Struthio camelus: one gene and its partners. The protein of the gene in region 4 binds, or shares a complex with, the protein of the main gene of each other region. Links are inferred from orthologs where the notes say so. Each region holds a gene or a part of one and is shown on either strand. Other genes may lie near its edges.

Region 1 (7,108 bases), on a different chromosome or scaffold from region 4:
GCAAACCTCCAGCACCCTAGAAAGGCAGCCAGCAGCATTGCTCTGGTCCTAGGGATGGGGAAACTGAGGCACAGAGGGTCGTTTGCAGAGTGAGTCAGTCCAGGAGCCAGATCGGGCCATCACCTGGCTTCCCGCGTCACCTACCTGCCACTTAACAACTGGGCCACCAGCCCCGTCATTAACGCTAAGGCTGCTTGTGCGTCGCTGAGCTTAAGTCGATTTGGGGTCAGGCTAGAAAGACAGCTGGCTGGAGCAGCCCTAAACCCGAGTAATCCCAGAGGCCCCAAAGCCACACTGGCTAGGCAAGGCCTAGGCAACTTCAGGTGAGTTATTTTTAAGTGAGTGCTTCCATTTCAGTAAAGAATTTCCCAGCTTCTTCCTCCAAGAACTGAATTCGCAAGTGGAAATAGCAACCAGGACACCCCACCGCAAGGAGCGACGCTTCCCTGCCTTCCCCTCCCTGTTTCAGGGGAGAGGATGCATCAGACCACAGCAAAGAAAGACCGCAGAGGCAGCTCTTATTGTGAAGACATGAGCAGTGTCCTGCCAGAGATGATTAAACTGAGCCCACCGTCATGTGAGGCTGCTGCTACGGTCTGAGACTTTCCCTAGGAACCTGAGATTAGTCTATAATAAGAAGAGCAGAGCAAACTGGGTTAGCCTTAGCTTTTAGCATAGGCTTTGCCCACCCCCTCGGCTGTGCTTCAGCCACCTCCGCCCAGGGCTCTGCACACGTCTGGCGGAGCTGTCATCAGTGCAACGAGCCCCAGGGCTCTGCAGGTAACCAGCCCGCCGGGGAGGAGCGCCGTGGCCCTTTGCAAGGCATATCCTCGAGGATGGCAATGCGCTCTGGGGCATCTGAACGGCGCATCCCGTCCTCTGCGCCGAGGCGGGATCCGCTCGACCCCGCGGCGTTTTCCCCGTGCTCCTGGAGGGCCCCAGTGACGGAGCCGTAGCCCGTCCCGGTAGTTTGCTGCTCCAAGCAATCGAAAGGCTTCCCGACACCCACCGCGTCTGCCTTCTGAGAATTGGTTTTTCCCGTCCGCTGTGGGTACAAACATACTCTGCCGAGTACGGGATCAGCTGCATTCCTGCACCCCAGCTCACCCCGCTCACCGCGGCGGGTAAGCGCTGCTCCCTCGCCTTCCCCAAACTAACGCTGCCGCGGCCTTTCCTTCTCGGGACTGCGCTTGGCTTCCTTCTGGTGGGGCTCTGCGGCTGCGTCCTTCGCGCGCAGCACCCAGAGCCGGGCAGCGTCACCCCAGCGGAGCGCGCTAACATCTGACACGCGACCGTCCCGCCAACAAGCCCCAGAACTGGGGTTGTTTCCTCTGCAAGAGCACCCCCTTGCTGGTGCGCCGGCTCGAGTCAGCCGTCGCGCGTCACCGCTCGCAGTGAAAGTCACTGCCGACGAGACCACGCGGGAGAAGGGCGTTTCCCAGCCCGTCTTGATCCTGTTTTGCATGCTGTGATTTAACCTCAAAAAATCTAACTTGTCCCGAGATCAACATAGGAAGTTTCACCCAGAAAATGTCATGCGAGGATATTTAACAGGCTGCCAGGACAGAGCGTAGGCTGGAAGCCAGTTCTGAGCCAAACCTCAGCTGATAGCAGGAACAGGCACTAATCTTCCTTTGTACACTCGACTGTGACAAGAAGCGTTAAGCATGGTCTCAGCACAGAAGCGGAAACCAAACCGTAAATTCTGATTTCAAGCTTGCTACAAAAATTCAGCCTGTGGTTTGGGCGAATTAACAGCAACCCAGCGTTTCAGGGAGAAAAGTTCCACCCGCACACTGTGGATATAATTTTGCCATATAAACATTACTTGAAGCAGAACTTTTTTATTTTAAACTATTTTCTTCTCCAAACGGACTACTTCCAAAACGTCCTCACGGAGCAGAACTCTGCGAAACCTCGGCAACCGCGAGCAAAGCCACCGGCAAGGCGGCCGGCGCAGAGCGCGGCAAGGGGCACCTACCATAGTTCTCCGACGAGGACACGTAGGTCAGGACGAGGAGAGCGAAGTTTTCGAGCAGGTTGAGCAGCAGGTTGAAGTGGCAGAGGCGCAGGTAGCGAGGGTGCGTGCAGCGGCAGCTCTGGTAGTGGTTCCAGTAGGCGATCGCCACCAGGAAGCGGGGCGCCGAGTGGAGGCCGATGCAGAGCCGCCAGACGTAGCGCTGAGGGGTCTCGCCCCCGATCGCGGCACTGATGGAGGGCAGGTAGTTGGGGACCTGGAGGGAAGACAGCAGCTGCTGGAGAGGCACAGGGAACGTGTGGCGGGCTCTCCGAGACGCTACAGCGATCGGCGAGGTAAGTTTTATTCCTGTGTCACAAGCCAGGGAATGCAACGGCGCAGCAGTCCTGCTTCAGCCTCAGGGTCCATCCAGCCCAGCACGCGGTCTCCAGCGCCGGCCAGGGTGCAGGATCCTTGGCCGGTCTCAGGGAGCAGCAGGGGCGGTTGGGAGAGAGAGGAGAGAAGGGTGCAGTGCATGGTTTTGGGAGCCCATCCCTAACAGGGAAAACTGATAGGAACAATGGGCAAAAGGCATGTTCAGGGAGGAACATAAAAGCAAGCAAAACATCAGTGATACAGCCCCAGAACAGACTCCCAGCCTCAAGGATTCAGAGCTCAGGGACTTCCCAAGCCGGCTGCGATGGCTACGTAGCAGGTAATCCACACCGGATTACTCTTCCGTGATCTCGTTCGGTCTGGCCGGCACCCAGGTAGAGCTGCGTACCCACAGTCTCCTGTGGATGGACAGTCCACAGATCCACTACCCTCTGCTTGAGGAGGAGCCGGGTCCCACGGGGTTGCTGCCAACCTGCCACCTCCATACGGCGTCCTCTAACTCTGACGCTGGCAGAGGGCGAACGGGATCCCTGTCTGTGCTCTGCACGCCAGCCATGGCTTTAGAGGTCTCTATCCTACCTCTCCCACCTCATCATCTCTTCCCATTTGACAATGAAGGATCCTTGCTTACTTCGTCATCCCCACGTGACGCCTCTGAGCATCCTCGCTGCTCTCCTCCGTACAGATCCCGTACTGCTGCTTGGGAGGAGGGGACAGACCTGCACGCGTTGTTCAAGACACGTCTCAGCCACGGGCCAACACCGGCATGAATGCCGCCCGCTCTGCTCTACTCCTTTCCTAACAACTCCTGGGCTTTGATTGACTTTTTCAACTACTCCTGAGCACCGAGTGGAAGTTTCACGAGAACATCTATCGCTCCCCCAGACCTCACTCCGGAGCGGCGATGGTCAGCGCAGAGCCCACCTCCACCTCATTGTAGGCAACCTCAGGAGTGCCTGTCCACATGCACATCACTTATTTCTCTGCATGGAACCGCACTGGCATTTTGCTGCTCGGTCGCCCAGCTGCGTCCCGCCCTGGACGCAGCCCCTGACAGCCTGCCTCACCCTTCCTGCACCAGCACCTTGCCATCGCCAGCAGTCTTCGTCACCCCACTGCGCACGGGCACAAGGAAGACCACAGACACCTGTAACACCCTGAGGTCACCTCCTCCTGCTGCTGTGAGAGCTGAGATTATCTACTCCTGCCTTTTCGCTAGGTGCTTGTGCAGGCACAGACTTCCACGCTTGTGCCGCGGCTGCTTGAAAGCCTTGGTGAGGAACCTGATCCGAACCCTTCTGGGAACCCAAGAGGTCCCTGTCAACCGGACCGCTCCCAGGCACGCGCTTGCGACTCCTCCAGTGCCTCCAAGAGGCAGGAACTCCTTTTGCCAAAGCTGGGTTAACTCTTCCATGAGACACCATCTTTATCTGCAGCTTCGCTAGTTCTGCTCTCCAGTCACCACCCGCCTGCTCAGCACAGACGTCGGCCAGGCCAGGCTGCGCTACCCTCCATCCCTTTTTAAAAGCGGGAACCTCAACCGCTAGTCACGCGGCATCAGCAGCACAATAACGGAGAGGAACGTATCCAAGGTCACGTATCCCGGCGGGGGGGAGAGCGCGGAGCAAGGCAGGATTCCCGCCGCGCCAGGCGCCCCCTTTGCAGACCTCTGCGTTTGGCCGGTGAGAGGCGCTTACCCCGCAGTGGGTGGCTGTCGTCTCCTGGAAATGGAACAGCAGAGACCAGATCACGCAGAAAAGGAAACCAAACAGCGGGCAGAACACGGTGCCAACAGCCAGCGTGGTGAAACGGAGCCGGAACAGGATCCCATCGCGGTCCAGGGGCAGCGGTACCTGTAACATGTCGACGGACCTGCAAAGAAGAAGCGGAGGTGGGAAGGGGACGGAGCAGCCCGTGGCGAAGTGCAGCCCTCCGCCCCCCCCCCCCAAAGGACGCGGCCCCTCTTTCGGGCTGCGGAGCCACCCCCCGGGGCTCCCGTCAAACCCTGGCAGGGGGGAAGCAGCTTACCAGCGAGGGTCGGAGGCCGGCGGCGGCGTGCCGGCCCCCCCGGCGGCGCTGAGCTCCTCGGCGCGGGGGCAGCGTCTGCCGCAAGGGCTGCGTCCGGCTCCGGCTCCGGGCCGTTACCTGCGCGGCGGCTCGGCCATCGCGGCCGCTCTAGGCATCGCGCTGGGGGGGGCTGCGGGCAAACGGGGGGGGGGGGGGGGGGGGGGCGACGTGAGAGCCTGGCCCGGCCCCCGCGCGGCCAAAGCCGAAAAGCGAATCAGCGCTGTGACCGTCCGAAGAGCTCAACACCCCCCACCCCACCCCGGCCCCCCGTGACCCCCCCTCTCGCTCCCAACATGACCCACCCCCAGCCCCCCCCAGCTCCATCCGTGACCCCCCCCGGCTCCCCACTCCCCCCGTCCCCCCCAGCTCCATCCGTGACCCCCCCCAGCTCCTCACTGCCCCCACGACTCCCTCAGCCCCCTGCTCCCCCCCCGGCCCCCTCACTCCCCCCGTCACCCACCCCCAGTCCCCCCCAGCTCCATCCGTGACCCCCCCCAGCTCCTCACTGCCCCCATGACTCCCTCAGCCCCCTGCTCCCCCCCCGGCCCCCTCACTCCCCCCGTCACCCACCCCCAGTCCCCCCCAGCTCCATCCGTGACCCCCCCCAGCTCCTCACTGCCCCCACGACTCCCCCAGCCCCCTGCTCCCCCCCCGGCCCCCTCACTCCCCCCGTCACCCACCCCCAGTCCCCCCCAGCTCCATCCGTGACCCTCCCCAGCTCCTCACTGCCCCCACGACTCCCTCAGCCCCCTGCTCCCCCCCCGGCCCCCTCACTCCCCCCGTCACCCACCCCCAGTCCCCCCCAGCTCCATCCGTGACCCCCCCCCAGCTCCTCACTGCCCCCACGACTCCCTCAGCCCCCTGCTCCCCCCCCCGGCCCCCTCACTCCCCCCGTCACCCACCCCCAGTCCCCCCCAGCTCCATCCGTGACCCCCCCGGCTCCCCACTCCCCCCACCTCCTCCCATGACCCCCCCAGGTCCTCACTGCCCCCACGACCCCCCCGGCTCCCCCCATCCCCTGTGACCCCCCCCAGCCGCCTGCCACCCCCCCGGCTCCCCACTCCCCCCGTGACCGCCCCCCGGCACCTCACTGCCCCTACGACCCTCCCACCCCCCCGCTCCCCGCCACCCCCCCGGCTCCTCACTCCCCCTTGCTCCCCCCGGCCCCCCGTGACCCCTCCAGCTCTCCGCTCCCCCCACGTCTCCCCCCCCCGTGACCCCCTCGCACCCACCGGCCCCACACGGCTCAGTCCCGCCGCCGCCGCCGCTCCTCCCCGTCCTCCCCTTCCTCCTCCCCCCGCCGCCCGCCTCTTCCTGCCCACCCTGGGCCAGGCCGCGCCCGCTCATCCCTCCTCTTCCTCCCGCCTCCGGCCCCACGCGGGGCGCGGCGGGGCCCAGCGCTCTCTGAGGCGGCCCCACGCGGGGCGCGGCGGGCCCGAGGCCGCTCCGGGGAGGCCCCACGCGGGGCGCGGCGGGCCCGAGGGCTCTCTGGGGCGGCCCCACGCGGGGCGCGGCAGGGCCAAGAGCTTGTGTGTCTCTTTGGTGCAGCCCCACAGGAGCGTACGGCGGCGCCGAAGGCTCTGGGTCAACATCGAGCGCCCCACGGGGACGCGCGTGGGGCTGGAATCGCCTTCGGCCCCGCGGGGCGCCTCCCCCCCCCCGGTGGAGCAAGTGCTTCCCCGCGGCGCCCCTTTAAGGCCCTCGGCCCCGCCCGCTGCGTCACAACATGGAGGCGGCCCGGCGCTGCCGGGTTGGCCAGGCCGGGGGAAGTCCCGCCCCCCAACGCCCCGGATGTAGGGTAGCCCAGTGGTGCGGCTGTTCTGGACCCTTCCTCAGTGGCCGCCCTTCCCCCTCCCGGGGCCCGGCCAATCGGCGCTCGGGTCGCCGCAGGACGCGGCGCGTGGCTGCAGCCAATCAGAGAGCAGCAGCCCCTTCGCTTCCCGTTCCCACCAGGGTGAGGTGGGAGGGGAGGGGAGCCGTCTCGCTTTCAAAGAGCGGCAGCCAATGAGCGGCGGGCGCGCGGGGGCGGGGCCGGCCAATAGGGTAGGCGGGAGCGGCGCGCGCGCCGCGGCGCAGGGGCGGCTGGGAGGCGCGCGGAGCGGAGTGTGACGCAGATTCCCTCCCCCTGTGAGGCGGCGGCGGCGGCGCGGGAGAGGCGAGGCGAGGCCCGGCCCGGTGCGGCCCGGCCTGGCGCGGCCCGGCGCTTCCCTTCCCCCGGCCCTTCGGCGACCCGCGCCCGCGGTGAGCGACGGGGACGGCCCCGGGCGGGCGGGGGGCGCCCCGCGGCCTTTGTTGGGCGGTGCCGGGAAAGGGGGGAGGGCCGGGCCGCGGCTCCACGCGCGGCCCCGGGGCCGGGCCGGGCCGGTGAGGAGGGGGGGAGGCCGCGCTGTTCCCCAGCCGCCTCCACCGCGAAGGGGCTGCGGGTGACCTTCGCTGCCGGTTCGGTTCCGCGCCCCCGGCGGTGCGGAGCGCCCCGGCCGGGCCGGCCCCCGCCGGGCCGTGGCGGTGTGGGAGTTTGTCGGGCTGGCTCCGTGGGGGGGGGGGGCGCGCGGGGTGAAGCCGAGCCCTCCGTCCCCACAACCGCTGCGCGTTTACACGTTACCTGTAAACTCGGCAGCGTAGGCGCTGCCCCGCTTTCAGGGGCTTAAAGCGGTGGGGGTCTGGGAGCAGCGCCACGGGTCTGTTAAC
Region 2 (7,658 bases), about 1.0 Mb from region 4:
AAGAGAAACTAAGCTCACAGACCCCAGAATCCAGGCATAGCTAGAGTTCAGATTCACGCTGCTGTCAAAGATCAGAATGAGAGCCACAGCAATGATCTGGGCAAAAATAGCTGTCATCGTCCCTTCAAAGGTCTTCTTCGTTCCTGGCCATTTGATTTCTCCCATTGCACTGCCAAATACTGAGGCCATTGTGTCTCCTACTCCTACAGCCAGTACCCCAGAATAGGGGACCAACGCTCCTGCCCCAGACAAGACACCTTTAGGAGCGCAAGGTCTTGGAAACAACCACACTGGGAGGGACATGCCAAGAAGAAGATAAATATGAGTCAAGATTAGAGGTCCACTGTCTCGTTCATCCAAGAAGAGAGACAGTAAATGCCTAAGGGTTTGGCCAAATGGTTTGATCCTGAAGTATCGAATGTACTCTAAGAAGATAAATACTGCCAGGCACAATACTGCAGCAATGTAGAGAAGCTGGCGGTCATAAATTAGTCCGGGGACATAAGTAGCTACCACAATGAAATGGAAATATTTCCTGGTTATGGTTGAGGCCTGGTGTTTTTTAGACTCAGATGATCTTTTAGCGTTCTGGTAGAAAACTATACCACATGCTGAAGCAGCCAACACGGTCCAATATACAAGAAGGTAAACTCTCGTTTGCGTCTGAAATAGAAACTGGAGTAGCCAGAACAAAGGATTTCTCTGGATCAGCCGGTAAAGCCAAGGCATAATGACCCCTAGGCCTAGCACTGCTGTCATCATGTGGAAAAACATGGAGGAGATCCAGGTACCTGAATCCATGAAAGCGAAGAGAACAGTGAAAAAAATCCCAAGAAGAACAACTCCAACAACTGCCACCAGAAGAAAAAAGTCTATGGGATCACCTCTGCTCTCGACTACGTTCAGTGAGCGTTTAATGAGCTGATTGAGCACAAAACTTATACCCCCAAGAACTAACAATGCTTCTCCAGGAGTAAAACATCGAGGCAACACGTACAGCAAGATCATACTGAGGTAGACAAAAATTAGCAGCACTTCTAGGACCTCTATCACTTCTGAAACAGTCAAAGAGTGCTTCATGGTATAGATAATTATACTGCCAGCAACACCAGTAAGTATGCAAGTGTTGGTTGGTACAGGTTTTGTGATGCCAACCGCTATTACAGACAGAAAGAGAGCAACCAACATGCCAGTGGAAGCTACAACTATGCCAAAACGTTCAAAGTACACAATGCCAGCAGACTTGCATCTCTCTTTCATCACTATTCCCAACAAGGGGATGACCATGCTAGCTGGTAGGAGGCCACTGTTCGCTGTTGTACGAAACTGGAATACAGCCCCACCCAGCTGGAGCAGACGGTCCCATTTGAATTGGACATAAAAAGCCTGGACGGCAAGAGCTATAGTGCACCAGGAATACCGGTCCCACACCACCATGTGCACACACAGAACAACGATGAACACGATCAGCGATTCCACCAGCACTGGCTTGTTTAACATGATTCCAGTCCGACGTGGCTCAAGCTTTCAAAATCTTTCTCACGAGTCCCAAATATTCTCAACAGTGGTCCATTAGCAAGAATTCCCTTTCATCCTACTGCAATTCCTATTAAAAAAAGAATACACAATTAAAAAAACTACTAGAGAAGCTAAAGCTTCCACTCGGCTGTGTTGTTCGTAAGCTCAGTTTAAACTGATAGCCACGGGCAAACTATTAATGGCAACACGAAGCCAAGTGAAAAAATAAAACCAAACGGACAAAGGGATCAGCCAACGCTTTTATCCATATTTGAGAAGCAGAGAAGGCAGTCTGCGGTCACAGAAATGAGTACCGAGTACCACTCAGTACTGTGGTATTCAGATACACACACTAAATACTTCTGTTGCAGCCTCTTTGAACTAAAATATGAAGCAAACAAACCATAACTATTCCCAGAGAGTTTGGTGAGGCACTGAGTACATTTGAAATATAGTTAATTTCATAGTTTAGAGGTAACGTTAGGACCTAATCTTGTATGCTGTTTTTGCTGTTGTTTTACAGTGACTTTTTTTTCCCTTTTGATAAATATTTTTCTTCCCGCTGCTGTGCAAAAAGCAAAGGTACCTCTCTCCTTCCATTACTGATGTTATGACTGAATACTTCAATTACTGCAGCAGCTGTTTTATAACATTATATAGTGTTTACAATAAAAGTAGGAAAGAAAACATTGCAATCATTAAATACTTTACTTCATCTAAAGTTGACCTATTACTAGAACTGTCAACGTAAGCTGAGTCAGAGAACTGAGCTCAGAAGCAGCAAATGAACAGAGTTCTCTTGCCTACAGCCATGAGAGGACTTTCATCCCATCCTTAGTATTAAGCAGCTGAATTTGTTTTGTTTCTACAGCGCTGTCGGATCATATTTGTTATGAAGAGATCAATTCTAAAATATACCTCCAGTCCATCTTGATATATTGGCAATATTCTATTTAGCTCTAGAATATGTTGTAGCAATATCGTTTAACCATTATGCAGCTTAGTGAGTAAATTTGATTTATTCACGTTTATCTCTAAGGAAAGGTATTGGCTTCTGTTTCTCCTTAACTCATGTCACAGCCTCTCCCTGATTCCAGCTGTCTCAATTGCAAATGAGAACTGTACGTGTCTCTTTTACATAGAGCCTAAATCTGTCTGACTGACTAGAAATACTTCTAGTGTTAGTCTGTCATTAATGACATCTGACAAATCCTAGCAAGCCAAACTATTTTTTGGGACTCATCCCCAAAAGGCATCATAATCTTACAGAAATGATTTGTTTAGCTAAGCGCTGGCATTTATGCATCATTTTCTTGAAATTCTCAGCAGTGAGTGAACCTTGTAACACATTCTTGATCATGATATAAAGCTGTCATTGCTTCCTATATCCCCTCACTCCCGTGTCTTGCTTATGTTGGCTGGATTTACATCATTTCGCCTTCTCAGTATCAAGTCTCACAGCCACTGGCAGCTGCACTGCAAACTAATCATTCCCTTAAACCCCTGGACTATAAGATAAATGGTTGAGATTATCAGCAACACACGATGATTCTATTAGGTTAAGTTGCATCTTATCTATCTCCTTCAAAGTACTGTGGACACTCAATATTGTGCAATTCTCACTAGCATTTATTGTTTTATTGTTATTTATTGTTTACTGTTTTCTGGTAATATGCATTTCTCCTTATGCATGATTTGATATTCAGTCTTAGCTGCACATAAGCCAAAGACATTATACTGACATCGCTCTTGGGTTCTTTGAAAGTATTCGTTTCTGTATTTCTGTTGGTAATAGAACGGTTGACCCCTTTCTCTCCTGTCTACTGTATGCTGATAAGATATCTCCAGCTGAAACTGTGAATAACATCTTCCTTTTTGGCCCACTTAAGTTGAGCAGCAGTAAACTCTTATCAAATTCTGCTTCCCGTTCTCATTACTAATAGCTACGTTAGCTTCCTCATGGAAGGCTATCAGTTTATATTTAAAATTGTTTCTGTTTTTCATCCAGTGCTGGCTGGTTTCACCAGATTATAATGCTGATACACGTTTTATTAGCGATGTTACTGGGTGACTATCAAAGTTCGTATCGCCCAACTCCCTTACGTTGTGGGTCCAGAGAATGTTCTTATTTATTACATCTCCGTACTGAAAATTCTGACTTTTAGTTTTCAGTAGCTTGATTTTCAGCATCTTTATCAGTACAGCCTGCAATATTTGATTGCCGAACCTAAAGACACTACGTTTACTGTTGCTATACAGCCAGATCAAGCTAAACGTAATCTCTCTCCCATACCAACTCATTTCTGAAATAAAGAAGAATTCAACATGTAGTCAACAAAAATAGAATTAGCATGGACGATAGGGCCAATAGTGGTTTTGTGGTCCCCACTCTTTGCTCTTTCTGGGCATGGGGGCGGGGGGGAAAAGCTTGAAGCTTATTTGAGAAGAGCCTGGCTAAAGGCAGAAGAGAATCCCTACTCAGTTTGGCTGCTTCAGGGTTGCAGCCCAGCTCTTGCAGCAATAATGGCACATGACAGCTTCGCCCTAGCACGCAGCCCGCCAGCTGGGCTGCGAGACGAAGACGACCACCCTTTCAAACGCGGGTTTTCTCTTCTGACGCAGCGGCCTTTGACAGCCGCCGACCTGCAGCTGCAACGCGGTGCACCTCGCTGCTGAATTACCTCATCCTGTGCCCGTGGCAGCTCCCCCTCCCTGCCCTCTCAAGGGAAAATGAAGCCCCTCGGCGCATCCCGCTTCCTCGCGAACAGGAAGGGGCTCCCCCTCGCTCCCACTTTCTAATAACTTTGAGGCGTTTTCTGGCCGTTTCGGGTCTACCTCCTGCCGCCCCTCCTGCCGCTGGCGGGCTCCGTCCTTCCCCGCGACAACAGCCGCCGGCTGCCGCAGCCCCGCGGGCCCCGCTCGGAGGCTCGGCCCGGGGCTGGCCGAGAGGCCGCGGCCTCCTCCTCCTCCCGCCGCCGCCCGCCCCGCGCTCACCTCGCAGAACGCCGCCATCTTGGCGCTGGCGCCCGTCACATGACCAAACCCGCGGGCGGAGAGGGGAGGCGGGGCGGCGGCAGGGGGGAGGGCTTCCTTCCCCTCCCCCGGCCCCCCCCCCCCCTCCTCCGGCTCCGCGCGGCGGGTCACGTGAGAGGAGAGCGAAGATGGCGGCGGGCGGGCTGTGCGCGAGGTGCGGGGACGCGGCGGCGGTTGGTCCGGCGGGGGGAGGGCGGCGGGGGAAGCACCGTCCCTCGCTGCGCGCGCGCGCGCGCCTCGCCTCCCCTCCGCGGGGGGGGGGAGGGGGCAGAGCGGGCCCCCGCGGGGGGCGGGGAGGGGAGAGATAACGGCCGCGAGGCCCGCGCCGGCCTGCCCCGCCGTAGCCCCGCCCCCCCCCCCGCGCAGCGAGGCCCCGCCCCCCTCCCCTGAGGGGGACCCCCCCACACACACCCGAGGTGGGGGGAGAGTGGGACCCTGGTGGTGGGGGGGGAGGGAGGGGGTCTCGCACCCAGGCCGGCCTGCGCCATGTTCCCGCCCCCGCGCAGGCTCTAGCGCGTCCCCGAGAGACCGTATCCCTCGCGGGGGGAGCGAGAGACCCACGCGAGAGACCCCCCCGGGCGGCGTGCGTGGGGCTGCCCGCCCCCCCCACCCGCGAGACCGCGCCCCGGGCGGCGGGCGTGGGGCCGCGTGTCCCCTCCACGAGAGCCCCCAGGTCAGGCCGGCGTGTCCGCCTGCAAGAGACCCCCCCCCCCCCCCGGTCAACAGCTGCGTGAGGGACCTCGCCTTCGGACGGGACCTGAGGAGATCGGGCGTTCTCGGGTGGGGTGGCCGCAGGCCGCGCGCCCGTCTGTGACGGACCCCCAGCCCTGAGGGGGCCCAGCGCTGGTCTGTGGGAGAAACCCCCTGCGCCTCCGTCTGTGCGCGCCGTCGGTCCCTAGAGAGGTCGAAGGAGTCTGCTCGCGCGGCGGACGTTGGGCGAAATCTTCAGGGATTTCTGTCATCCCTCGTTTTGGGGGGAACGAAAGCGATGTTTCTGAGGAAGGTCTGGAGTTGCCCGCTCTAGCAGGTGGATCTCCCCTTTGGATTTGAACGTGGAAACTCTCCGTGGTGTTCTTCAGTGGGCTGGGTTTTTTTCTCCCCCAAAACTTAGCAAGCATTGGTAGTGATTTTTTAGGCATTTTGTGTTTCTTTTGTTCTTCCACAATGTAAAAGATTAAGTGCTAAATAGAACTGCTGTTTACAAGCTTTGGCTGCCAAGCTGAAGTCTTGATTTATGCTAAAGTTTTGGAGGTATCTGTCAGACTTCTTTTAAGTCACAGAGTTATTGTCACAAAGAGCATAGATTTCAGGGTTTGATTTTCGTTTTTTGAAGAACTGAACCCTTTGCAAATATAAAATTAAAATAGCAGAGATGTGGAAGATGTGTACAGGAAGCTATTTTTTTTTGATGACATCCTGGTCCAGTGATCACTTTGGACTGATGTCTTCTTCGGTTTTGTGTGTGGATTTTGACATATATTGTAACGTTTTTGGATTCAGGAAAGTTCCTAGTAGTCTAATTACAGTAATGCCTACAAGCGCTAATGGGGACAGGAACACCACTGTTGCATATGACCACATTAAGAGAGCTTTCTTAGCTCTCTTAGCTCTCTTAGAGTCTAATTAGCGAACTGGCAACAAACAGTGGTCTGTTTTAATCGTAGAAGAGGTTTGGATGGAATGAAAATGAGAAGGGTTGGCTGTGCCATACTGATGCTCCGTTCTACAAAGGGATGCTTTTCTTGGTAAAATTGTGTGGCCTTTTCAATGCTCTGTGTGGGCTGGAGAGGTTGCACCCGCAGCTGGTTGCCAACGCGGGTCAGGAGAGGTCCTTTAGCTGCTATACAGGGAGGTGCATCTAACTGTCAAGGAAATTGGCAGGTAGAAATTAGGTTGGTTGCGCTGCTGAAAATAATAGCGCGTATAATCCATTTAAATAGCACCATGTGTCAGAAGTTACAGATGACTTTCATTGCCGTAGTGAATTCTCTTGAAGACGTTATTCCAAAAATAAGTTAGTATGTTTTTTTGTTTTTTATAAGAGTTGTTGTACAGCAATCTTTGCATGATGAGTAGTGCTGTTTAACTCTTGATTTGTTTTATATTGCTAAAAGATCGTCAGTTAGCTCCGAGTTCCTGAAATGTTCTACTTGGGTAGCAACTTTTTGCAGAGCTGTTTTAGGGAGATTCATCTTTCTGGTTTGCATATGCCTGAGTTAGGATTTGATCTGTAATACTTAATAGCACAAACTGGCTTTCCTACAAAGTTGTAAGGAACAGGGAGAAACAAGAAGCTCAGGGTTAATATTCCGAAGAACTGAGGCAAACATTCTACCTTATGTGAAAGTATTGCCGTTTTTCACTTTACCTAGTTTTATTTTCCACCTGGAGTGGAGTAGGAAACTATTATAGAGGAATTTGTTTGGAGGAGAGCAACAAATGACATTGGATAAAATATTGCTCTCTACTTTAATTAGATTTCCTCTTACTAACCTCAGATGTCCAAATAGCAAAATCAGATTGAGCTAATAAACTGATATAAATGTGCTGCTTCCTTGATATGAGTTTATGTTTCCCTGTACCACCTTAATGTGATCTGCTTGAAGTAAATTGCAACTTTAAAAAGGAGTAAGCTAAATATAAACCTGAGACAGTGTTCATTAGTAAAATACTCTCTACCTTTTCCCTTTGTTTTTAGGAGCAGCAGAGAATTGTGGACTATTCTTCTGGGCAGATCAGCTTTAAGAGAACCAGTAAGTCTGTGTCTGGCGAGGCAGGTTTGCCCGTCACTGAATGGACTTCGTGGCCTAAATACATCATTTGTTGTGCAGCTGTTTGAATATCAGTGAAAATATGTTTTTGCTGCTTTTCCCTCTTCCTCAGTGCGATCTTTTTTTTCCCTCTTTTTCCACTCCTTGTTTATTTTTCCACTCCTTGTTTATAGCTGCTTCATGAACTTCTACCTGGAAGGGTGTATGTGAAAAGGTGGTTCCCTTTCTGAAGCGGACACAAGTGGTACTTTCTAGACTGGCTGGCCTGGGTATTCATGAGTGGTACAGCCTGCTTCCTTATTTTCTGGGACGGAGCCCGTGCTTTCAAGAATGTGC
Region 3 (7,899 bases), on a different chromosome or scaffold from region 4:
GTCCCAACTTCAGCACTGTGCTGGATCCTGTGACCAAGTTACTCAACCTTTTTGACAAAGTATTTATAGATGCTGACTCCTTCGTACTTATCTTTGATTTCAACTAGAAACACTAAGGGTCTCCATGTGAGGGAATAAAAAAAAAAAAAAAGTTCCATTTGTTTGTCACCAAACACTAACCTGATGGCAGTTGGCATCCAACCAGTAAGGAAACGCTGCATCACTGAGCTCTGTTTGAGTTCCACGATTGAAATTGTTCCTTTCAAAAGAAAAAGTAGTATTAACAAATATACCGAGTACTTGCTAACAAGAGAATATACTTCCACCAACAAAGGACTTCACAGATCTGATGTAGAAGGGCACATGGGTGTAGCGAAATTATGAGATAAACATGACAAAAATTGAAATCAGCTGAAGTCCAAAACTAGAAGAGGGACGTTACTGGACAGGCTGAGATGTACCAGCACAACTGCAAAGACCACAGTGACACACACACACACACACAGAGCATATCCTAAAGCATATCCAGGACGGAATGGGTGTTTCTGTCTAGACAAGGCTATTTGTTAGCGTGCAGGATAACACTAAACCGCGCTCCATAAAGATATAGATTTATGAAGACACAGCCTGTTCCCACTCCTTACCAGGTGCATCGTGAGGAGGCAGCTTAAGGACAAAGATTCCTCCCGAAGCAGAGGGTAGAGCAAAGAGAGCCTCTCCCTCACTGCTAAGCCAAGCCGCTGAGGCAACAGAATTAGATGCTAGGCCTGGCACGTTGGGAATCATGTAGTAATTTGAAGGATCTCTGAAGTTGACTTTGCCAATGTCTGTAAACACGGACTGCATTTGGCTCTCTGTTATCAGCTCCTGGAAACGGGAAACAGAGAAAGGAGTACCAATCCTCAACACACACACACAGCCACAGAAAAACACCAGTGGAACGACACTTGCAACTCTGCTACTTTATAAAAAGGATCTTTCTGGTAAGACCTCTCTGCTCACCACCACTTTTGGCTTCCCTTACGTTTAACCCATGACCATTTCTCTTTAAGAGCAGAGAGTGAAAGGATTTAAAAACCTGTAAGTTTCTAGCAGAACGCTCTCTCCCTCCCTGACATATGCTAACATCCCCAAAGGAGTCCTGCAGTCCTACTTCTATCGGCTGCTGTGAGAGAATTCATAACAAAACATTGGTAACAGGTCCCAGAAAGAAAGCAGCTCTGCAAAAGCACAGCATCACCGCTTGGAAATGCTCTTTTGAACCCTAAATGCAAGAGATTATGATTTCTCCAAGAGATACCCAGAGGTCACACCAGGATGGATACATGCAACGTAATTTTTGCATAAGATCCATCTTCCACGTGCAACAAAAAGAGATTATATACCTTACTATTTAAACAGGACAAGTTACACACCCGCCCAAGCCGTCTTTCTCTGAACTGCTCAGTTCCTACCTCCAAATACCATTTTGGCCCCTGTGTCACGATGCCTAGCCTAAGACCTGCAAAGAGCAAATACAACACCAGAACAAATACACGCGCAGCAACCATAACCAAAGGCTAGAGACAAGCAGGATGAGGAGCTTGCCAGAGTGACACCAAGCCACTCTAACACTATAAATATGGAAACACTGTAAATCTTATTCCAATGACCAGTGCCTCATCCATGCACGCAGTCTGACTAAATTCAGCTCTACAGGAAGTGAGAGATTCCTTGATTTTTCCTCCAAACTGACAGATACTTTTTCCAGCAGTTTTCAGTTCCACATAGAGATCTACCTTGCACTGATGAACAAACTTGCTGTATTTGGCCAAAAATTAGAGGACTTGTGAGTTTAGCATTTTATAACATCTAAAAAGCAGTTCAGCTAGAAAAGTTAGGAGGTCACTTGAGTAAGAAATTAAACCACTAAACTAAAGAGACGTCCCTAAACTGACACTGCAGCTCTGCGCCTCTGGAAACACCAGAGGGTTCCAGCACAGGATACAAATCTTGATCACACAGCTATGAAACAAACTAATTTACTAAGAAGAAATATTCAGACTGCCGTGGATCTGTGTGCCCAACTCCAAAAAGCACAGGAAGAGCTCTGCTTTGTATTCGTTAGCAATCTAGCATAAATGTTTCTATACCCAGTCAGCCCCTATGACCCAGGCATGACGACCGCAGTGTGGCGTCACCAGGTTTGCAGGATGCCCAGCAGCAGTGCTGGAAATACCACGACGTCCCCACCTCGATGGGAAACACCCTGAGGTCTTTGCTATCTCGCTACTCATTTAGGTGCTGTCCTGAGGGCTCCCGGCTCTGCATACTTGCAGGACGGAGCCGGGTGCCTGGCATGGCAGGAGGCCCTGGAAGCACCTGCACGCCATGCCTACGCACAGGACCTCCGGGAGAGGCAGGTGCCGGTACTCACGCTGCGGTACATGCGGGCAGGGTGCGGCAGGAGCAGGCGGTGCACGGTCTGGGCAGTGGCGAGAAGGATGACGAGGTGGCTCTGCACTTCGCACACGTGCACGCCGCCCGGCAGCAGCGGGCAGCCCTGGATGCGGAGCCGCACGGCGTTGTTGAGCAGGTTGATGTCCAGCGACTCCTCCACCAGCTCCACCTCGTCCCCCGACGTGGTCCTGCGGGCAGAGCAGGGAGGGTATGGGGAGAGGCGCGGGGGCCCAGCTGGCGGCACTGGAGAGGCCCAGGCCCAGGCCGCAGGGCGAGGGCAGAGGCCGAGGCCGCCGGAGCCGGGGGGGGGGAGGGCGGGCCCGGCCTCACTCACCAGCGTATGAAGCGGTTCCTGGTGACGGCGGCGAGCTGGGCGCTCTCCTGGTAGCAAAACCCGCCGGCGCTGTCGCCGTAACGGCCGGCGGGGGCCGGGACGGTGCCCGGCGGGCTGAACACCACCTCCCGCACCCGCCGCGGCGGGCCCCGCGCCGCCCCGCTCAGCTCCAGGCAGCTCCGCTCCGCCAGCGCCGCCGCCATCTTCCGCTGCCGCCGCCGCCGCCGCCTCCTGCCTTCCCGCCCGCCCGCCGCGCGGGGCATCACGGGAAAGCGGCGCCGCGGGGCACCACGGGAAGCGGGCAGAACGGGGTGGGGGTGGGGGGAAGCAGGGGCCGAGGCAGGGGGAGAGGGGCTGGGAAATGGGGAAGGGGGTCTGGGAGAGGGGCTGAGGGAGAGGGCTGGGTTAAGGGACCTGGGGGAGAGGGGCTGGGAGATGGGGGCTGGGGAGAGGGGCCAGGAGAGAGGGGCTGGGTTATGGGGCCTGGGGAAGGGGGCCAGGGGAGAGGGGCTGGGGAGAGGGGTGGGTTATGGGGCTTGGGGGAGAGGGGCTGGGAGATGGGGGCCAGAGGAGAGGGGCTGGGGAGAGGGGTGGGTTATGGGGCCTGGGGAAGGGGGCCAGGGGAGAGGGGCTGGGTTATGGGGCCTGGGAGGAGGGGGCTGGGGAGAGGGGGCCAGAGGAGAGGGGCTGGGTTATGGGGCCTGGGAGGAGGGGGCCAGGGGAGAGGGGCTGGGGAGAGGGGTGGGTTATGGGGCCTGGGAGAAGGGGGCCAGGGGAGAGGGGCTGGGGCCTGGGGCAGAGGGGCGAGCGCAGGGGGGAGAGGTGTTGGGATATGGGGTTTGGGGAAGGGGGCCAGGAGGAGGGGGACCGTAGCCGGGGAGAGGGGTTTGGAGCCTGGGGGAGAGGAGCCGGGACCCACAAGATGGGGACGCGCCCCGGCGTAGGGCTGGGCGGGAGAAGGCACGGGGACGCGCGCGCCGAAACGCCCCGTACGCCCCTCGCGCATCCGGCTGCGCGGCGCCGCTGCGGCAAGCGCCGTTTGGTTTGCTGCGGGGTTCGGGGTCGAGTCGCGCGCCCTCCTCTTGCCGAGCCTCGCCGGGCAAATCGCCCAAGCTCCGCCGCTGCGCCGCGCGGGCAGGAGGCCCGCGTTAGCTTGCAAATCGTCCGCTGCTAATAACAGATGCAAAAAAAAAAAAAAAAAAAAAAACCCAAAAACCCCCAAAAACGTTTTCGGCGGGCGGGGCGAGCGCGTAGCCTTCATCGCGCGCCCCGGCCTCGTCCGCGCGGGAGATAAGGCGCGACCCTTCGCGCTCCCGCTTTGTCGAGGGCCGCTCGAGTTTCAGGTAGAAGCAAATCGCTCGTCCCTGGGCGGCGCTCGGCTTGTCCCGCTCCCCACGAAAGCTTTAAACCCGCCCGGGGGTGGGGGGGGGGGTCTGAGTTGGATCCCCCCCCCTCCCCTCCCCGCCACCCCTATAACACCAGGCTGAGCGGGAGCTGAGCTCAAGGGCAAAGGGACGGCTGTGACCTTCGGGAGGTTGGGGGCGGGACAGGTGGGGGGGGAGCAGGCATGATACCACGGTGATGGGCGCCACGAGGAAAAGCACTTTTGCTTTTGCGAAAAAAAAAAAAACAAAACCAAAAATGCGCTTTTGCTCGAGCCGGGAAAGGTGGGTGAGCGCCCCCCCCCACCACCACCACCACACTCCCAACACCTCCCCGGGGGAGCTGGCACTGGGGGGGGGGGGTCAGAGGGAGCACGAGGCCCTGAACAATCCTGCCTTTGAGCGGGGAAGGCGAGAGCGCGGCGCCCGGCGGCACAAAGCCCTCTGTCTGCCCGCCGGCAGAATGGCCCCATTCTAGCGGTGGCAGGTGCCGCGGGGCTGCTCGGTTGGGCACCTCGCCCCCTCCGGGTCCCCCCCACCCCCCGCCCGGGGGGCTTTCGACTTGGCCCCCTTCCCGGGATGGAGCTTCCTCCTCGTCACCCCCCCCGCCGTCATGCTCTGGGTAGCGGCAAGGGCTGTCGCAGCACCCACCTCTGGCCCCGGGGGACGTGCCCGCGCCGGTGGCGGCTCTGGTGGGGCACCCCGCATGGACGGGGATCTTGGCTGGGTGGCCGTGTCCCCCGGGGCGGGGACCCCGTCTGGGTGGCCGTGTCCCCTGGGGAAGGGACCCCAGTGAGGTGCCTGTGTCCCCTGGGGAAGGGACCCCAGTGAGGTTCCCACGTCCCCTGGGGAAGGGACCCCAGGGAGGTGCCCATGTCCCCTGGGAAGGGACCCCGTCTGGGTGCCTGTGTCCCCTGGGGAAGGGACCCCATCTGGGTGCCCGTGTCCCTGGGGAAGGGACCCCAGTGAGGTGCCCGTGTCCCCTAGAGAAGGGACCCCAGTGAGGTGCCCGTGTCCCCTGGGGAAGGGACCCCAGTGAGGTGCCCATGTGCCCCGGGGAAAGGACCCCATCTGGGTGCCCATGTCCCTGGGGTGGGGACCCCAGTGAGGTGCCCACAGCTCGGGGCAGGGACCCTGTTCGGGTGCCCACGTCCCCCAGGGGAAGGGACCCCAGTGAAGTGCCCACGTCCCCTGGGGAAGGGACCCCAGGGAGGTGCCACATCCCCTGGGGTGGGGGTCCTGTGTGGGTGCCCACGTCCCCTGGGGCGGGCAGGGACCCCGGTGGGACGCCCGAGCCCCTAGAGGCACCCCCGCGGAGACGGCCGTGGGTCCCCCCTAGGGACACGGCCAGGGTGCCCCAGCCCGGGTGGGTGCCGGCACCGCTTCCCCCCCCCCCACCCTCGCTCCCCACGGGACCGTGTCCGGGACACCATAACCGCGACAGCGCCGTGTCCGGTACCGGGGCGAGGTCGGAGCGGCCCGGGCGGGGCGGTCACAGTCTCCGCCTCCCGCGGCTCGTTCGTCCGCCGCTTCCTGCGGGCACGGGCACGGCCCGGGCGGCGGCGGCGGCGGCGGCGGCGGCGCGGGGTGAGTGCGGCGCGGGCGCGCGCGCGCGCGGGGCGGGGGGCGCGCGGGCGCGCGCGCGCCCCGAGGGGGGCGGCGGTGTTGGCGGCGGCGGCGGCGGGCTGCCCCGCGGCGTGGCCGTGGGTCGCGGCGGGGCCGGCGAGGGGTGCGCCGCCCCCCCCACCCCCACCCCCTCTGCTCGTCCCGACGGTGCTGCGGTGGGACGGGTCGTTCCCACCCCCACCCCACTCCGCGCCCCCCACGTCCACGCGGCGGGATTAAGCGGCTTGGGCGGCCCCCGCGCGGGGTGGTGGTGGGGGGGTGCAGCTCGGCTCGACGGAGCCGGCCGGGTGCCTAACGTGGGGGTGACCCCTCGCCACCCCCCCCCCCAAACCACCACCACCTCTGCTTCCGCCCCCCCCCCCCCCCCCCCCCCACGTCCGGGACGCCTCGGCCCTGGGACCGGCCGGCCGTCGTGGCTCTGCCAGGGCGGCCGGGGTTGGGGGGGGGACGGGGCCGAAACGCCTGCTGAGCGGCGATCCCCCCCCCTCCCAGCCACCCCACAACGCCCCGTCTTATGGGGCTGCTCCGGCGGGATCTCCGTCCTCCGGCCCCCAGCTCGCCGCCGCCTCCCTTCCCGCTCCCGACCCACGGACAGGCGTCGAAGGCGGGAAGCGCCCGACGCGCCTCGCCGCGGGACGGGGCCGATCCCCCCCCCGCCCCGGCCGCCCCCGTCTGCCGGTGACGTCGGCCCGGCTCCCTAAATCCCCCCCCAGGTCGGCGCCTTGAGCCGATTAGGCCGGACGGCGACCCGCCGGCGGCCTTCTCCTTCGTCTTCCTCCCGCCCAGACGGCACCCACCGCCCCCCCCCCCCAAAATAGGGGAACGGACCCCCCCCCCCTTTCCCCAACCTCCCGGTAGGGCCCGAAACGCCGGGGAGGAGCCGAGGCGAACCGGCCTGACCGGTTGGCGGCCCGGCACCCTCGAGGCCTCTGCCCGGCGGCGGCGCCCGCCTGCCCGCGCTCCTCCTCCTCCTCCTCCTCCTCCTCCTCGGGCCGCTCGGGGGTAAGAGGGAAGGGAGCCCCGAAAGGCGGAGGTGGAGAGAGGGGGGAGAGCGCGAGGTCACCCTCGGGTCTGGCCTCCGAGCGCCTCGGGCCTCGCCACGGCCCGGCCGGGGTCCGGGGCCTGGAGAGGGGTGGGATCCTCTTCATCCCCCCCCCCACCACCACCCCCCTTTCCTCCCCAAACGTCTGGGGGCCTGACGTGCGGCGCCCCGCGTCTCCCCGCAGGCCGGGCCGGCGGCCCCCGAGATGCCGACATGCCGGCGGCCACCCGGCCGCGGCGCCTGGCTCTGAACCCCGGCCGCCGGCTTGGCCATGGAGGAGGCGGCCGGAGACGGGTTGGAGGAGCGGGCCGGCGGGCCGGGCAACAGGAACAACAACAACGCGTCGCCGGCCAGCTGGCGGGCACCCCGCGGCGGGCGCCCGGCGGCACCCCGCGGCGCCCGTCCCGGCTACCTGGAGCGGGTGGTGCTGGAGATCGTGGAGTCGGAGCGCACCTACGCCCGGGACCTGCGCGGCATCGTGGAGGTGAGCGGCTCGGCCGTTGCGGGGGTGTCCGCAGGCGGCGCCGGGACGGGGTTTGGTTGGGGACGGACCCCCCCCCCCACACACACACCCCTCCGCCGGCGCCGTGGTCCGACTGCGGCCGCCCGGCAGGGTTACTTGGGTAAGATCATCGACGCGGAGGAGCCGTTGCTGCGGCCGGAGCAGGTCAGCGCGCTCTTCGGCAACATCGAGGACATCTACGAGCTGAGCAGGTGAGTGGCCGCGGCTCTCCCGGCGGTACCTCCCGCAGCTCCTTGCCCGCAGGCCTGACGGCGGGGTGAGGGGCCACGCCGCGGCCTCACCGCTCTCGCCCCGTCCTGGGGCGCTCCTGTGTCCCCCCCCCCCCAATTAAGACCCTGCTCTCTCTCCGCCCAGCAACCTGCTGCAAAACCTGGACGGCTGCGACCACGACCCCGTAGCCGTGGCCGTCTGCTTCGTGACCCGGGTAAGGGGGCTTCCGCGCCGATGGGTCCGGCGCGGGCGGCCGGCGGGCCGGGCCGGGCTCTCACCTCGCTCCCTCCCTCCCCGCAGAGCCAGGAGTTCAATATTTACACCCAGTACTGCAACAACTACC
Region 4 (7,992 bases):
TGGTTTGTACTGGAGGGCTTCTTTTGGCTCTCAGCTGACTGTCAGCCCCAGAGTACATAGGTGAGGTGGTCTGAGTTGGGAACTCAGGCCTGCATCCTAGGATTGGTCTGTGCTTGGTGTAATTGCATCTCAGTAGCACTGACTGCCTTGCTCTTGCAGATTTGATGTCTGTCAAAAGGATGATGGAGAAAATGGGGGCTCCAAAGACCCATCTAGAACTGAAGAAGATGATCTCTGAGGTGACTGGAGGGGTTAGTGAGACCATCTCGTACCAGGACTTCGTCAATGTAATGCTCGGCAAACGCTCTGCTGTACTTAAACTGTGAGTGCCTTTGGGATGGAATGGGGAAGACCTAGGATCTGAGCTGGGGTGTTGGGGGAGCCTGGAAACAGAAATTGCTCTGCCTGGGCTCTGGCTGGTAGAGGTGGAGCTGTGCGGGCTAGGCCTTCATGGAAGGGAGAGGAGGACTCTCATGGAGGGCAAGTTCCTTCCACTGTACAAGGCCTCTAGCTTGAGATCCTAGATGGGATTCCACCATCTAGAGCTGGCCCGTGCGGCTGGGCTGGGCAGTGGCAGGTGTTCATGGCAAAGCTGCCTGCTATGTGCTAGAGCAGGCTTCCTCCTACATGATCGGTGCAAGTGATTCTCCTCCTTTTCCTAGAGCATGCAGGCACTCAGCTTTGCAGGACCTCTTGCCTCTTCCCTGTGGCTCTTGCTGGCTTTGCACACAGGCTTTGCCTGTGAATGGTGTGAGGACTTGAGCAGTGAATGAGGGCCCAGCAGGGCTGGCTCCTATTTGCAATAGGATGCTCTGTCCTTGCCTGGTTTTGGAGAGCGAGGCAGTGTGAGAGTAGGTGGAGAGGGGACACATGCTTAAAACAGCTGGCTTGTGCTGGTAGAGGTTTTCTGTGGTTTTCAGCTGCCAGCGCTGGCCTCCCACGGCCTCCTCTGCCCTCTCAACGGGGCTCTGAGTCCTGCTGTAACAAATGGCTTCTGAACACTAGCTTGGCTGCTGCTAGCTGTGGGGTGGGCTCTCTTGGCTCCATATTCGCCTCATTGAAACCTGGCTTTGCCTTTTACAACCACAGAGCAGGCTGGCCCTGCTTTTGTGTCTTTAACTAATGAATAGGAGTTGCTCCCCTCCATCCCCCTTGGCCCTTTCTGAAGGCAGCTTTAGTAATGCAGCCAGCTTTCTGGGCAGGTTGGGAGGAAGGATCCTGTGCCCACCTGTCACATGTTCCCTCTGAGCTGGTAGACACTCGTTAGCCATGTGTCTCTCCTCTTCTGCACTGACTGCCCTGGGTCTGCGTGTTAAGGTGGTGTTCTCCCAGGCACAGACAGACTTCTGACACCCCTGCTTCCTTCTTTCTCTCCTGAAGCAGGCTGAGCCTTCAGCCTGTCCCATATCTTCCATCCTTCCTCTAAACTGCGGCAGCTTTCACAGGTGGATCCCTTTTGCTAACAAACAGGCACCCCATTGTCTGTTGGACTCTGAAGCAGGAGCAGAGATGTAAAACTTGTCCCAAGAGCAGTGAAATCTTTTGATCCAGCGTGGCAGCTGACATTCCCAGCATGGCTGCGGTCCTCAGGGAGGAAGACAGTGCTGGCAGTTGCAAAATGCTTAGGATTCCTTTGGCTACTCCCTTACTCCTTGTCTCTGCCCTCTTGCCTGGCTGCAGCTGCTTGCTTGATTCTTTTTTTTTTGTTTCTTTCAAATGTTGTGCAGTGTCATTATGTATGAGGTGGGCCAGGGATGGTATATGTTTTTATGCATCAGGAGTGCTTGGCATGCAGTGCATGCCCGGGGATTCGGAAATGGCTGTCTAAAGCAAACATGCTAATCCTCTGTGCTTTGGGAGGAAAACCAGCTGGGGCATTGGGAAACCCGCTCTTGGAGATTGCTGGAAAAGCAAAGCTGCCTGCTAAGCTGCCAGCACTGCCCTCTGTTGGCTTTCTGTCCTGTTAGTTGTGGGATGTCCTTTGCATAGGAAGCAAAGGCTCATTACATTCAGCAGACGAGATATACCCCTAATGATGGGTGAAGTATACCCCTAATGATGGGTGAAGATGGACTTGTTCTTTTCATCTATATTATCTGCTGTCTTGCAGGGTCATGATGTTTGAAGGAAAAGCCAATGAAAGCAACCCAAAACCTTCTGGCCCGCCTCCAGAGAGAGACATAGCCAGCCTCCCTTGAAGAGGACAGGCTGGAAAATTGGAACTGTTTGCTTTGCTGGTCTGTAACAGAGGTTACCTGTGCTTTGTTACTCTTTACTTTGGACGGTCTTAGTTTTCAACTAACCTGCCTTAGAGGAACAGCAAGGGAAGCTGGGGACCCCCCACCCAGCTCGCATCTTTCTGCTACATCCCTTAGCCAGCTTGATTTGTTAGAGAGAAGCTGTAGCACAAAGTATAATGTGAGACCAAAAAGAAAAAAATCCTGGGATCTTACTCTTTCCCTTGCCCTCTCTGCATTTCCTAGACGACAAGGAGCTACTTTCCTCCCAACTTGTGGATTCAGAGCTGTGCTTGTCTCTGCAGGTTCCTAAGGGGTCTCGTTGCCAGATGCTGAGTGCTTCTCTGGCAGCAGCTCTGGCCCCTGACAGCAGCTTCATGGGTGCAAAGAATTAAGTGCCTTCACTGCTCCATCCTGTGCTTCCTGACTTTGGACTAGTTCTTCCCCTCCTGATCTGGCCAAAACACAAGTCAGGCTCCCACCTTTGTGGCCTAGTCTCTTCCCAAATGAAGATGAGAAGGTGCATTGACACCAGAGGTCTACTTGAAGGCCTTTATGCTTGGAGTGGACATGGCTTCCTGCAGGGATGGGCTTCTCTCTGCTCCTTGAGTTCATCCTGCAGTCAGATCTTCACGAGTCTGAGCCAAGTGAGCTGTTAATGATCCTTTTCTAGTGCCCTTTAAGCAGATCTTAGTCCCAGGTCTCAATAGCCCCAGGAGTAAGACTCTGCTCAGCCAGCATGATGTGCCTGGGTCTTGCTCTCCTCTAAGACCTTTGCTTGCTGCTGAGGTTGGGATGGTCCTAAGGGAGTATTTCTTTAGCTGCTAAGTTCAGCAAGGACTTTCCTTTGGGCTTCACCTTGAACTTAAGTGCATATCATAAGTTTTTAAACTTGCAAAAATAACTGGCTGGAGTCCCTACCTCCCTGAAATCAGTAGGGCTAGCGTGCCCCTCTGTTCTGGAGGCCAGTTTACTGGGCCCTTCCACTACAGCTTGCCTGCTGAGAGGACATGATAAAATCTCAAACATAAGCTGTCAGCAGGAACATGGTCTGCAGATAAACCATGCAGGCAGCATCCTACTGGCTCCTACCAGAAGCGAGATTAGAAATAGGCAAGAACTGTCTCCAGATGACAGCTTTTGGCTCCTGGCTACAAGGCAAAGACAAAATTTTCCACAGGATGCTTCTAAACCAGAAGGCAGACTGGAGGGTGCCTCTGCAACCATGATGGATTAAAAACCCACCTGAGCCCTGAGGTCCTCAGAACCTAAAGGCATAAGTTCTACAGAACCTAAAAGAACAAGTTCTGCGAAGTCTGTCAGCTGAGGAAAAGCTATCAACCCACTGCTGCTTTTAATATCTTGGGTCTTCCTCCTCCCTTCCTAGTTTGCTAGGCTTTTCCTTGCCCTCCAAGACTTACTGGTTAGCCACAGGAAAAAAAGGCAAGCAGCAAGTGAAGTCACAGCCCTGATCTAAAAAAGGGAAGCTGCAAACCTATCCTGAAGAGGTGGAGAGTGCAACACCAGCCAGCTCAAGTGAGGCTGATTAAAGCTACTTTAGGGCCCCTCCCTGATAAATCCCTGCTTGGGTCAGATCTGGAGCATAATCTCTGAACAGGTGGCTGTCTGTCTTGTCCACAAAGTGCAGAAGCAGGCCTGCTGTTAGGCCTTTACAGCCCCTGAGGAAGGCTTAAGGGAAATTGAACCTGCAGGTTCAGGAAACTGCTGACTAAACTGTGAGCTCTGCAAGTCTTTCCAGACCATTGTGGATGAGGATCTATCTTCGTGCTGCTGCTCAGGCTTTCTGATTTTTGCAGATCTTTCTGCGTATGTTTCAGCTTTGTCTCATGGGACGATTGGGTGTGTTTTCCTGATGTAGAAAATCTCAAGCCTGCAAAATAGGAATGATTTACAAGCATGCAGTAGGATGCCAGGATCTAGAGGTAGCTGGGACTCTATCAACCTTCTGGATACTGTTGTGATTCTTGCTCTATGCACAATTTCTGGATTCCAGATATTTGCTTTCTTCTCCTCCCTCCCCTTACATGTTCTTGGCAGCTTTTAACTTTTTAAAAATCATTGTTTAATAAATTTTTTAAAAGGAAATACAGATGATTGTAACTCTATGCTAGACTTATTGTTCCTGCCAAAGGCTGCACTTTTAAATAAAAAACAAATTCTCACTGCTGTTTGCGTGAAAATGAAAACTGTAACGGAGAGATAAAAACAGTGAGGAAGAGCAGCACCAGTCTACTGAAAAGACCAAAAATAAATCTTCTGAAACTACACCCTGTGTCACCCTTATTTAGTTTGGCTTTTCTGAAGCTTGGACCAAACGACCAGTTGCAGATTAAACAAGCTCGTTTCCAAGTTGGTTAATATAAACCCTCCACTAGATCCTGGAGATAAGAGATCAGATCAAGGAGGCCCCAACCTAACAGCTGACCGAGCGCTGTGGAGCTCGTGTTACAGAGCGCAGAGGCCGCCTCCTGAAAGCCAGCCTTCTTCTGACTTCGTGGAAAGGAAACAGGTGGCTGCGCTTGTTTTAAGGAGTTTTGTTTACCAAAAGCACTCGCTTGCGACGCGGCTCCCTTTCCCTTGAAGGCTTTTTTTTTTTCCCGCCCTCTCGGTTCTTAAAGCAAGTGGGTGTCAGGGGCACGGAGAGGAGCTGCCCGGGGGGGTGACGGGGCAGGGCCCTTCTCCTGCGTCACCCTGGGGCCCGCGCCGCCTTCCTGACAGGCTCCGCGGCTGCGTCAGAAAATAAGGCGGCCGGGGCCTGGACGCGGTTCGCCACAGCTTCCGCGCAGCTGCGGAAAGCTCTGGAAACGCACCTGGGGCCCTTGGTTTTGGGGGCCTGGAAGGGGGAAGCGCTAAAGCGCCGGCGCGGCCCCCCCTTTCCTTCTCCTCCCCCCCCCCCCTCCGGCCGCGAGGCCCGCGGCCCTGGAGGACTCGCGCCGCCTCCCGCCGCGGACCATCGAGAGCGCTGGCTAGCGCGGCCCCGCCGGAAGCGGAAGTGAGGGCGCTGGCGGAGCGCGCGGGGGTTTCGCGGCTGTGCGCCGGGCGGCGGGGCCTGCGGGTCTCGGCGCTGTGGCCATGGGGGACGACATGGACGTGATCCCCGAGCGGGAGATGAAGGTGAGGGGTGGGGGGACGAGGGCAGGCCGGCCGTGAGAGGGGAAGTCGTCGGGCTCGGGGATGGATTTCGGTGCCGGGGGGGAGGGGGGGAGCGTGCCGGGGGGGGGGGCGGCGTGGGCTGACAGGGGGCAGGGACTTTGGAGGGAGCCTTCCAGGGTCTGTGGAGCACTTGAGGACCTTTTAGGAGACTCTGGGACAGGCTAGGTGGTGGAGGAAGGGTGGGCTGGCGTGTCCTGGCCTGGCCTGCGGTGGAGGGGGGGCTTGGTAAAGCTGCGAGGATGATAAAGGGCTTGGCTGTGGGCTCTGCTGTTTTTCATGGATCTTGGGCGAGCTGACATCTTTAAGAGAGGAAAAAGGGAGAGTTGGAGTTTATGTTGGGAGAGGACTGATGCTGTTGTCAGTCCTCCTGTCAGTATGCCTAGTGCTGGGGTTCCCCTGCCTTGAGAACAGTAGACTTGAGCACAGCCTTAACGTGGGGGGCTCCGCGTATGGCGAGTAAACTGGAGTCTTGTCCTGGACTAGCGCTTCCCTGTCTGTCCCAGAGTGTTACAGGGAGGAATGTGGTGAGACAGGGCTGTCTGTGCAGATGCTCCAAGCCCATGTGCATCTTTGTGCAGCTGCTTTCTGTTCAGGCACCTCCAAAAACCAGGGAGTCAGGCTGTTTTGCAGGAGGTTCTAAGTTTCTGCAGCCTCCTTCCCGTGCAGGAATGCACTTACTCAGTGCTTTGGAAAAAATGAAGTAGTGCTTTATTCAGTGATTGGCATTTTGGGAGGACAGGGTCAGGGTCATTTCTAAAGGGAGTCTAGCATTTCACCTGACAATAGCGTAACTTGTTTCTTAATGCAGTCGATTTGTGTTTCTGTAGCTTTATAACTTCTGCAGTTTATCTCTTGCTCTGCTCTTCCCACTTTTACAAATGACAATGCAAATTATGAGAGGAATGAGCACACAACATACATTTGATTATACAAAGTAATCCCTGGGGGACAGTGGAAGGAATAACCATGTCTGTTCTGTGTATGTTAAACTGCTACTACAGTAGTAAAAAAGATGCGTCTAGATAGATGCGTGCTTTGCAGCTTGGGTCTCTAAGAAAACGCATTTTATTTAGTCATGCGGTATGTTTCTCTATTTCGTTCCCTTCTCTTTTTCTTCTGTATCTATTAGCTAGTTTCAGGTACGTTTTGCAGAGGGCTAGGTGTCTTGAACGTACTAAACTCCTACAGGTTTTGTGAAAACAGGCTTATGGTAACCTATGGTAAAGCATTTTAAAGTCAGTCGTTTTGTCTTTGGAGTGTACGTAACTTCCACTAGTTTTTTGATGAAGTAAATAATGGGAATTGTAGGCGCTATGCGGATAAGATAAGATGCACCTTAAAAAGGTATGGAAACAAGCTGCTCTTTACATGAAGCGCAAGTGAGTGTATGAGATGGAAAATGTGATAGGATGGCCAGGGACAGTGTGGGTCTGGACTCTGCCTTAGGGGTGTTTTGCAGCTCTCAAGGAGAGGCCTTTCAACTTACCGTCCTAGAGAAACTGAAGTAAACTGATCCTCGTTACCAGCATACAAACAGCTATTTCCTGACTCTTTTACAACAGGATTTTCAGTTTAGAGCGCTGAAGAAGGTCCGGATCTTTGATGCTCCTGATGATCTTCCCAAAGAGCGGTCCAGTCTTCTTGCAGTGTCTAACAAATATGGGCTGGTCTTTGCTGGTGGGGGAACGAGTCTGCAGATCTTTCACACTAAAAATCTTCTCATGCAAAATCAGCTGGGAGAAGATCCCAATAAAATTGGTAAGGCATGTCTCCTGGTGTTTGTGCAGAGACAGCTTTATATAGGTTTTCATGGTATGGAGCTCTTGGCTTCTGACACAGTCCTTGTCACGCATTTAAAATTACTGGGTTTTATGGTATTAATCATGCAGGAAGAAAACTTGCTGCAACTCTAGCTGATGCAGAGTATAGTCGTTGGGAACACGCTGTCAGGATGCTCTATGCTAGCTCACGTTCAAATGTCATTCAGGTTTGGTTTCCTGTGTTCAGTGCCGTATGGTGAGATTGGCTTTTCGTATGTGAGAGTGTGCCTCTTTTCTTGCAGCCCCGCGTTCTTTTGGTAGCCAGATTTTGGGCTGTGAACTTGGATAAGTATTCAGGATGTGTGTGAGTGGAGTGGAGTAGAGTTCTTGCACCGAGTTATCCGCTTTGAATAAACAACCGTCTTGCAAGAGAGGAAGAAATCACTGTTCCACAAGCTCACAACCGAAGTGCAAAATTGTCTTCATTCTCACCTTTTCCTTAATAACTATATACTGTGTATGTATATATGTATTGGCTATACCAAAGTATCCACGTGCTCCCTTAAGTAAAACCTAAAACGCGTCTAGTTATTTTTCCTCCAGGTTAGTGAGGAAGGAAAATGGGATTTTCTTAAGAATTTCTCAGACTTAAGAATTTGAGAGCCTCTGGTGAAACAGTATTGATAGAGATGAAGGGTTGGCTTTCACAGAGGGAATTTCCATATGTCAATTTTGACAGCTGCTGTTTATAGGACTATCTGTTAGGTGTGTGTGTTTTTGGTTTGGGGGAGGGGATTTGCATAAACCATATTGTTTTAAAA

What was found.
Region 1: NUP214 (region 4) and NUP98 share a complex: the UniProt entries of both Homo sapiens proteins name them as parts of the nuclear pore complex. The link is inferred for Struthio camelus from reciprocal best matches to the Homo sapiens genes NUP214 and NUP98.
Region 2: NUP214 (region 4) and NUP188 share a complex: the UniProt entries of both Homo sapiens proteins name them as parts of the nuclear pore complex. The link is inferred for Struthio camelus from reciprocal best matches to the Homo sapiens genes NUP214 and NUP188.
Region 3: NUP214 (region 4) and NUP160 share a complex: the UniProt entries of both Homo sapiens proteins name them as parts of the nuclear pore complex. The link is inferred for Struthio camelus from reciprocal best matches to the Homo sapiens genes NUP214 and NUP160.

What each region holds. Positions count from the first base shown.
Region 1 is NC_090942.1:224,224,217-224,231,324, reverse strand, and holds the start of NUP98 (nuclear pore complex protein Nup98-Nup96), read left to right. Parts: upstream 1-4,215; 5' UTR 4,216-4,244; intron 4,245-4,381; exon of another isoform or gene 4,382-4,550; intron 4,551-5,652; exon of another isoform or gene 5,653-5,712; intron 5,713-6,217; exon of another isoform or gene 6,218-6,374; intron 6,375-6,521; exon of another isoform or gene 6,522-6,661; intron 6,662-7,108. Other genes in the region: PGAP2 (post-GPI attachment to proteins factor 2), read right to left, coding at 1,982-2,234, 4,051-4,215. UniProt on the Homo sapiens protein: Plays a role in the nuclear pore complex (NPC) assembly and/or maintenance. NUP98 and NUP96 are involved in the bidirectional transport across the NPC. May anchor NUP153 and TPR to the NPC.
Region 2 is NC_090961.1:7,136,250-7,143,907, reverse strand, and holds the start of NUP188 (nucleoporin NUP188), read left to right. Parts: upstream 1-4,645; 5' UTR 4,646-4,679; coding exon 4,680-4,705; exon of another isoform or gene 4,706-4,790; intron 4,791-7,249; coding exon 7,250-7,304; intron 7,305-7,658. Other genes in the region: DOLK (dolichol kinase), read right to left, coding at 1-1,500. UniProt on the Homo sapiens protein: Component of the nuclear pore complex (NPC), a complex required for the trafficking across the nuclear envelope. Required for proper protein transport into the nucleus.
Region 3 is NC_090946.1:5,690,226-5,698,124, forward strand, and holds the start of NUP160 (nuclear pore complex protein Nup160), read right to left. Parts: upstream 3,010-7,899; 5' UTR 2,977-3,009; coding exon 2,774-2,976; intron 2,628-2,773; coding exon 2,417-2,627; intron 868-2,416; coding exon 645-867; intron 260-644; coding exon 181-259; intron 1-180. Other genes in the region: PLEKHG3 (pleckstrin homology domain-containing family G member 3), read left to right, coding at 7,095-7,307, 7,437-7,537, 7,701-7,770, 7,857-7,899. UniProt on the Homo sapiens protein: Functions as a component of the nuclear pore complex (NPC). Involved in poly(A)+ RNA transport.
Region 4 is NC_090961.1:6,136,845-6,144,836, reverse strand, and holds the start of NUP214 (nuclear pore complex protein Nup214), read left to right. Parts: upstream 1-4,978; 5' UTR 4,979-5,330; coding exon 5,331-5,372; intron 5,373-6,973; coding exon 6,974-7,169; intron 7,170-7,992. Other genes in the region: AIF1L (allograft inflammatory factor 1-like), read left to right, coding at 160-322, 2,111-2,198. UniProt on the Homo sapiens protein: Part of the nuclear pore complex. Has a critical role in nucleocytoplasmic transport.